Danio rerio: one gene and its partner. The protein of the gene in region 1 purifies or fractionates together with the protein of each later gene. This does not show direct contact. Links are inferred from orthologs where the notes say so. Each region holds a gene or a part of one and is shown in the gene's direction. Other genes may lie near its edges.

Region 1 (3,667 bases):
TTAACTCACTTTTAGTTATTTAAGTAGGTAATTACTTTTTAACAATTTATCTGGCTATGCGAGTCTAAAGTTTGATTTGGAGTCAAAAAATTACTTTAACTACTTGTTCAAACTACTTATTTAAAATGAGTTAAAACAACACAATTCTTAAGGTATTTTTCGGACAACTTAATTATTTTAAGTTCAATCCACTTAAATTTGTAAAAAATTATTATGTTAATTTAATCGATTTGTTTTGTGACAATATGGACCATGGAACTCAGCATTTTTTATAGTGTTTCCTCTTTTCTTTTTATAGTACACTGACATTGCAGTACAGATGTCTTTAACAGAACAGAATAGATATGGTAATGGAGGTCCACAAGATGATAAATTAGAAATTAGTATTGCCATATGCATCGGAGGTCATATCAATAGCTGCCATTACGGTAATGGCATAATGTTGTCATTGTAATCCAAAAAGAAAATTAATTATTAGCCAATAAATTAGGAGTTATTTCTACACTTTAGATATATGCTGTTGATTTGTGCTTTACGTACTGCATGATACATAACATTCAGAAAACAAATGCCTGAGTTTATGTTAGCAAAAAGAAGAGTTCAGAAATTCAATTTGTAAATGACATTTAAAAATGAAATATCAGTATCAGCCAAAATGTTCTACATCTGTCCACGCTTGTTAAAAAATGCTTATATAAATGGATATTAAAAGTAAAATGTAATTATTCATTAAAAAAAACTATAAGGCACTTTGATAAGGCATTTAAAAAGCCAATAAGGCACATTAAATAAGGCATTTACCTGAAAACCTCTGAAGCAGTGTAGTGCAAATTCACCCTAAAACTAACAAGAATGACTTATTATTAAATATAAATATACTTAATAATGTTTAATGTCTACATGAAGTTTCGGTTTACTAATTTTAATGTTTTCTTTGCAGAGTGTGGCATGAACGTTCACCATAAATGTCAGAAGAAAGTAGCAAACCTTTGTGGCGTCAACCAGAAGCTAATGGCAGAGGCCCTGGCTATGATTGAGAGCACTCAACAGGTTAGAAAACAAGCATGTAACAAATGTCAATGCCCTTTACCGCTGTTCGGTCGTTTAAATAGGAAGATTGTAGAAATTATCGTGAGGAATTAATCACAAAATTGAATTAAGATGTGTATAGGGCTGCATGATACTAGAAAAATATTCCATATGCCATATCTTTGTTACAATTGCAACATTTATAATATAAATATCAACATTTCTTATGATAAAACTAACAAACGATTTTATCCGCAATTATTTAAACTATTTATGTAATAATCATACAAAAATAAACAGGTCATAATAGATATTTTTAACAGCTAATATATAATTAAATCTACATTTACATTTATTTACAATCTAAATAAAACTATGTCAAGGTGGAAACATTTAGACTTTGATTTACCACTGAAATAACAGAATTCTGATTCTTATTGGCTGTTACAATACAATAACCTGCACTTTGAGTCACAAGATGGTGACAAACAACACAAACTGACAGAAATGAAATAAAGCATAGACTAACCTTACATATTATTTATTCACAAGATAACAGTCAAACAGTCAAATGTAGCAGCGGGACAGACAAGCAGATACATATGAATGTGGAAGTATGTATATAAATTTGAACTAATGGACATATTCACTAATGGTAGATTGATTCAAAGTTCCAAGATGAGCCTGTTTTATTCAGCAGATGTTATCTGGGAATAACATACCTTCAAATTTCGCAACTGACAAATTTGAATCGAGCATCACAGACAACAGTGTAAAAATGTAAATTAAATAGAAGAGTAATATTAAATAAAATGAAATGAAATTTTACAGCAAGCTCGGAGCTCCCGGGATACTGAGACTGTTGGTCGAGAGGGTCCGGTCAGCGCAGATCAACCAGGGGTCATTAGAGAGCCTTCAGGACGCTTAGCGATTTCCCCCCTTACGCCTGCACCACCGCTACCACGCAAAGGTAATTGCTTATGAGATTTTCAAAATGCACCGCTATTTTCTCATGAATCAATTCTGATTCATGCTTCGTTTTTAGCAGCAGAAGTTGCTGTATGGTTTACAAAGAGCCGTATCCTGCTTGCATCCTAATTCATAAATACCACTTGAACTTAAAATAATCATTTATAAAGTTGGGAATAAAGGTTTGAGTAAATAAGTCTCGAGTGTGGGCTGTGTTAACATTAATCTAGTGACATAAAAGCAGCTTGCATGATTTTGCTGAACACACAAGTGCTCATCCTTATGAGTGTGTGGTTAAAGATTAGCCTTGAGCAGTATTTGCTTTTTTAAAAACTAGCATAGCGCACCATCATAGAGCACCATCTGTAAATGCCTAGCCTAGAGTGCCATCTGTTGTTATTAACTTGCAGTGACTACTATTAAAAACTAGCCTATACCGGCATTTGCTTCCAGCCTGGACTGCCATTTGCTGTTAAAAACTAGCCTAGTGTGCCATCTTAATAACTAGCCTAGAGCTATCTGCTGTTCAAAACTAGTCTAGAGCGCCTTCTGTTGTTCGAAACTAGCTTAGCTTGCCTTCTGCTGTTAAAAACTAGCCCAGAGCGCCATGGGCTGTTAAAAACTAGTCTAGAGCACCTTCTGTTGTTAAAAACTAGTCTAGTTGTTATTAACTAGCCCAGAGCGCCATGGGCTGTTAAAAACTAGTCTAGAGCAACATCAGTTGTTCAAAACTAGCCTAGAGTGTCTTCTGCTGTTAAAAAACTAGCACAGGGCACCATATGGTATTAAAAACTAGCCTATAGCACCATCTGCTCTTAAAAACTAGTCTAGAGCACATTCTGTTGTTAAAAACTAGTCTAGTTGTTACTAACTAGCCTAGAGCACCATCAGTTGTTAAAAACTAGCCTAGAGCGCTGTCTGATGTTAAAAACTAGCCCAGAAAAAAAATAGCATATAGCACCATCTGCTGTTAAAAACTAGTCTAGAGCACCTTCTGTTGTTAAAAGCTAGTCTTATTTTTTTAACTAGCCTAGAGCGCTATCAGTTGTTCAAAACTAGCCTAGAGTGCCTTCTGCTGTTAAAAACTAGCTCAGGGCGCCATATGCTATTAAAAACTAGCCTAGAGCACCATCTGTAGTTAAAAACTAGTCTAGTTGTTGCTAACTAGCCTAAAGCACTATCAGGTGTTAAAAACTAGCCTAGAGTTCTGTCTGCTGTTAAAAACTAGCCCAGAGCGCCATAGACTATTAAAACATAGCCTATAGCACCATCTTCTGTTAAAAAGTAGTAAAAAGTAAAAAGTAGAACACCATCTGTTCACAACTTGCATATAGCGTCATCTGCTATAAAAAAACACTACATAATAATGCATTGTGCAATGCCATGTTTTTAAAATATGAACATATTATTTTCATTTTCATAGACGTTTGATTTAATTCTATTCCATCTCGTTTTATTCTTGAAATACTAAATGAATGCTTAAGACTATGCTTATGGTCAATTATCTAATCCCTATAAATATTCCCTTGAGCAACTCAATACATTTTAGAATTGATCAATTGATTGATTGATTAATTGATTGATTGATTGATTGATGCCCAACTCTTCGTTCTTGCATAGAGCATCAAGGTATTTCATGGGACTCTCCAGCTGACGGACGCAGACCCAG
Region 2 (3,667 bases), on another chromosome or scaffold:
GGAGCATTTGTGTAAGAGCATAAAATTGTTGTGTGCAACCAGTTTTTACTGCAAAATGTTCACCACATGCACGGATTGGGTAGACATTCACACAGAATGCATCTTTGCACTTGAAACGCAGTGCGCAGGAAGGTTTTTAAACAGTTGTCAACATGTCAACTTTGCGTCAGTAAACAAAACCAAGTCTGTAATGCTTGCCCCGCCTTCACGCTTTTCTTATTGGCCCTCTGCTCTAGAACTGATCGCAAGTGGATTGGTTAATATCAGCTGTCAGTCACAATCACTCAGTCAGTGTTTTATGGCTTGGGATGACAGGGAGAGCTACTACCTTAAAAATGTAAAGCACTGAAGATGGGAATGAAGATAACACTGACAGATTTTGTTTTAGAAACCATGGCATCTAAAGTTAGAGATAATGACACATCTTAGTAGTGATCATGTGCTGAATGTTAATCCACCATCTACACTTTTCGAAGTTTGGATGTTTTTTTGCTATTAACATTGCTATTAAAAGACTTCCATTGGCTTCAAGTCCACTATGAAAAAGTCTGTGGGATGGAATTTTAAGGTAACTGTTTGCCACATCTAGCACGAGAGGTTCTGTTTAATCCTTTATTTAATCACTAAATGTTGTCCGCCATGCAAGTGGCAGCTATATGTAACGTTAAAATTTAACACAACGTACACCATCACAAATGGGCTTGCACTGAGTAAACAAATATCGCTACTCGTGAAAAGACCGGTATTGCTATAAACATGACGTATGCATATAATAAGGTACAGTATATGTCAAAAGCATCAGTGCAATATCAGACACCATCCAGGAGAACAGCACAGTTACATGATTAACAGATTCATTCATGTCAAGCAGTGCGTGCAGGGCCGGTGAGCGGTCCGTGTATCTTTTGGTCAGTCAGTTATGTTATAAAAATGTATTTTCTTGTGATAACGGGGTTTCGTTGAGACATATTTTCCTCCAGTATGCATATATATTTTTTTGCTTGTTAGCTTGATTAGTGTTGATTTCAAATGCAATAAATCTGTTTCTATAAAACTTGTAGTAACGGTGCTTATTATTGGTGTGTGGGACTAAATTATGGCTGATGCGCCTACATTTTTGAAAAAAAGGTTAATTTAGAGCCCTGATTTCACAATTATCGATTGATAAAAATAGATTTATTTTTAAAATCCTGTTCACAAAAAAAATCTACTTTAAAATGTGAAAAAAGAAGTAAGAATTGGATCCAATGTTCAGATTTATTCATCTTTATACATTCTTATATTTTTAAATATTCTTATAATAAATTGGCCATGCCATTTATTTCAGGCTCCAGAGCTTTTTGAAGGCAAGTCCTACACAGTCACTGTGGACTTTTGGAGCTTTGGCACCATGATCTTTGAATGCTGCTGTGGATTTCGTCCATTTCTTCACAATCTTCAGCCTGTGCAGTGGTATGTGTCCTCATAACCTGCATGCTGATAATGCCATCTTTCATATACCCTTTCTTCAAGAGGAACCTAGCCATATAGTTGCGTATAAGTAAGCATATATATTTTTTTTTAGGACAAGCAAAGTGCGAAACAAAGGTCCGAAGGATATAATGGCTGTGGAAGATATGAATGGCGAGGTCCGCTTTTCCACCCACCTTCCATACCCAAACAATCTTAGCAGGTACACTTCATACAATTAAAATATATATTAACATGTGTTAACCCGTTATTTCTGAGTTATCAATTTGTTTTTGTTTCCACAGGACACTACTGGAGCCCTTGGAAGGCCTTTTACAGCTGATGCTCAAATGGGACCCTGTACAGAGAGGATTAGGACTGAACACAGATTCAAAACAGCCCCAGTGCTTTGTTCTTCTAGATCAAATACTGAGCATGAAGGTTTGGCATTGACATTATTACATCATTTCTTTATGATGTCTTTAAGATTTATATCTATGCTTTATTTTATACAGTTTGTCTGGTTTGTTTAGTGGTGCCTTCTTTTTGTTGTCATGAATGTGTGTTTGTTTTTTTAACAGTGGTTTTAAAAATGTCATCAGCTATTTAAGAGATGTCTTATTCTGGTTGCCAAGAGTTACACATTTTTCTGCATGTAGTTGAATACGTTATTCATAACCTTCACTTATTTACCCAACCATTTAATAACAGACGTGGAGAAAAATTTCAAGAAAAATAATAGAATAGAATGGAATCTTAAAATTAAAGTCGTTACATGTGAAGTCATTGTGTATCACAAAAAAACTCTTAATGTCTGAATGTTAAAATTAGATGTTAATACAGTCATAAAAGTTCAAGAAAAAAGTCATTATTATGCATATTTCGATGTTATGCATATTTTTAGCAGAGCACTGGCTTGAGAGTAGGAAAGATAACATTCGCCGTGGTACCTTCTCACTCAAACCACTGCTTGCTGCTTCCTCTAGTTGCTTATCGAGAGAAAAGCTGCTTATAACTGTTGGTTCAGGATCAGTATTTGCCACAGATATTTAAAGTGAACTCAGATTTATATAGATCGCATGATCTGGTCCTTCCATGTTTGGCTTGATTACCTGGCTTGCACCCTATTTTAATTGACCATCAAGTTTGATCTTTGGACTTTGTGGACAATGTAGATAAGTTTTCAGCATGGTAAAAGCGTCAAATGTGTTTATTTATCACTAGTGTAATATAAAAGTGAACGAAAAGAGAGTCACTCTAATGAAGTTGTGAAGAACATTTGATGTTTAACTTTGCGTGTCAAAAGCAAGTGAATAAATGCATAGATACACTGTTTGACAAACTCATTTGTAATTAATAGTAGCTTACATCCGTGATTTTGGTGCGACTGTTCATGTCTAAAGTGAACTGGATAGAAGTCCTTTAAGGCTTTCAGGTTTTACGGGTGCAGCTGCAGCTCTGTCTGTGCACCCTGTATTTTACATTCTTTGCACATTACTTTTGTGTTGTGCGAGCATATGCATTATGTCCTGTGCCATGTGAATCCCTTTCAAGTTCTTTATCTGGTCACTCACCGCCTATGTATAAAACTCTTAACCCACCACTCCCAGAATTTCAAACTCACCCAAGGGTCAAGAGTAAAGAGAGAGAGACTGTGGTTGAGTCTTTCATGCTAAACATATGATGACCTCATTGTAAACTATCTAATCTAAAACATTTTCAGTTTACACAGAGAACCTGTTATGACAAAAATGAAAGTAAAAGTGAAACACCTCTGCGCATTTAAATGCAAAATCAGTACCCTGCATATTGATAGGAGCTCTCTGATGTCTGGAAATGATGTACAAAGTTAGCTTTTTTGCTTGAGTAGATACTAAAATTACAGTAGTAGGATTAATTAAACAGTTTCCCATTCAATTCAGCACCATAGCCATGGACAGCACCTTGCAGCATTTTTTTTTTTTCTAAATGTAAATTTTTTTCACCCCAAAAAACACAATTACTTTATTCTTAAAATTTTAGTTAGAGGTTTCTTTTTTTTTTACATTTTATGTGTTCTTGTATTATGATTATATGAGTTTAATATTGCATTATAATCTCAAGATTTAATTAAGTTTTGTCTTTTTTACTATTGCTTTGCCCTAATCCTCATAGTTGACAATAATTATTTGAAAAATAATGCTTGAAGGAACATTTTATTCACCATGAATCTAAATAC

The links. Proteins that work in one complex are often made in the same cells at the same time.
Region 2: the proteins of prkcq (region 1) and chuk purify together in Homo sapiens (affinity purification with western blotting, with the first as the bait; 3 studies listed by BioGRID). This does not show direct contact. The link is inferred for Danio rerio from reciprocal best matches to the Homo sapiens genes PRKCQ and CHUK.

What each region holds. Positions count from the first base shown.
Region 1 is NC_133179.1:26,076,523-26,080,189, forward strand, and holds part of prkcq (protein kinase C theta type), read left to right. Parts: intron 1-940; coding exon 941-1,050; intron 1,051-1,860; coding exon 1,861-1,999; intron 2,000-3,618; coding exon 3,619-3,667. UniProt on the Homo sapiens protein: Calcium-independent, phospholipid- and diacylglycerol (DAG)-dependent serine/threonine-protein kinase that mediates non-redundant functions in T-cell receptor (TCR) signaling, including T-cells activation, proliferation, differentiation and survival, by mediating activation of multiple transcription factors such as NF-kappa-B, JUN, NFATC1 and NFATC2.
Region 2 is NC_133188.1:28,585,402-28,589,068, forward strand, and holds part of chuk (inhibitor of nuclear factor kappa-B kinase subunit alpha), read left to right. Parts: intron 1-1,327; coding exon 1,328-1,452; intron 1,453-1,564; coding exon 1,565-1,672; intron 1,673-1,754; coding exon 1,755-1,890; intron 1,891-3,667.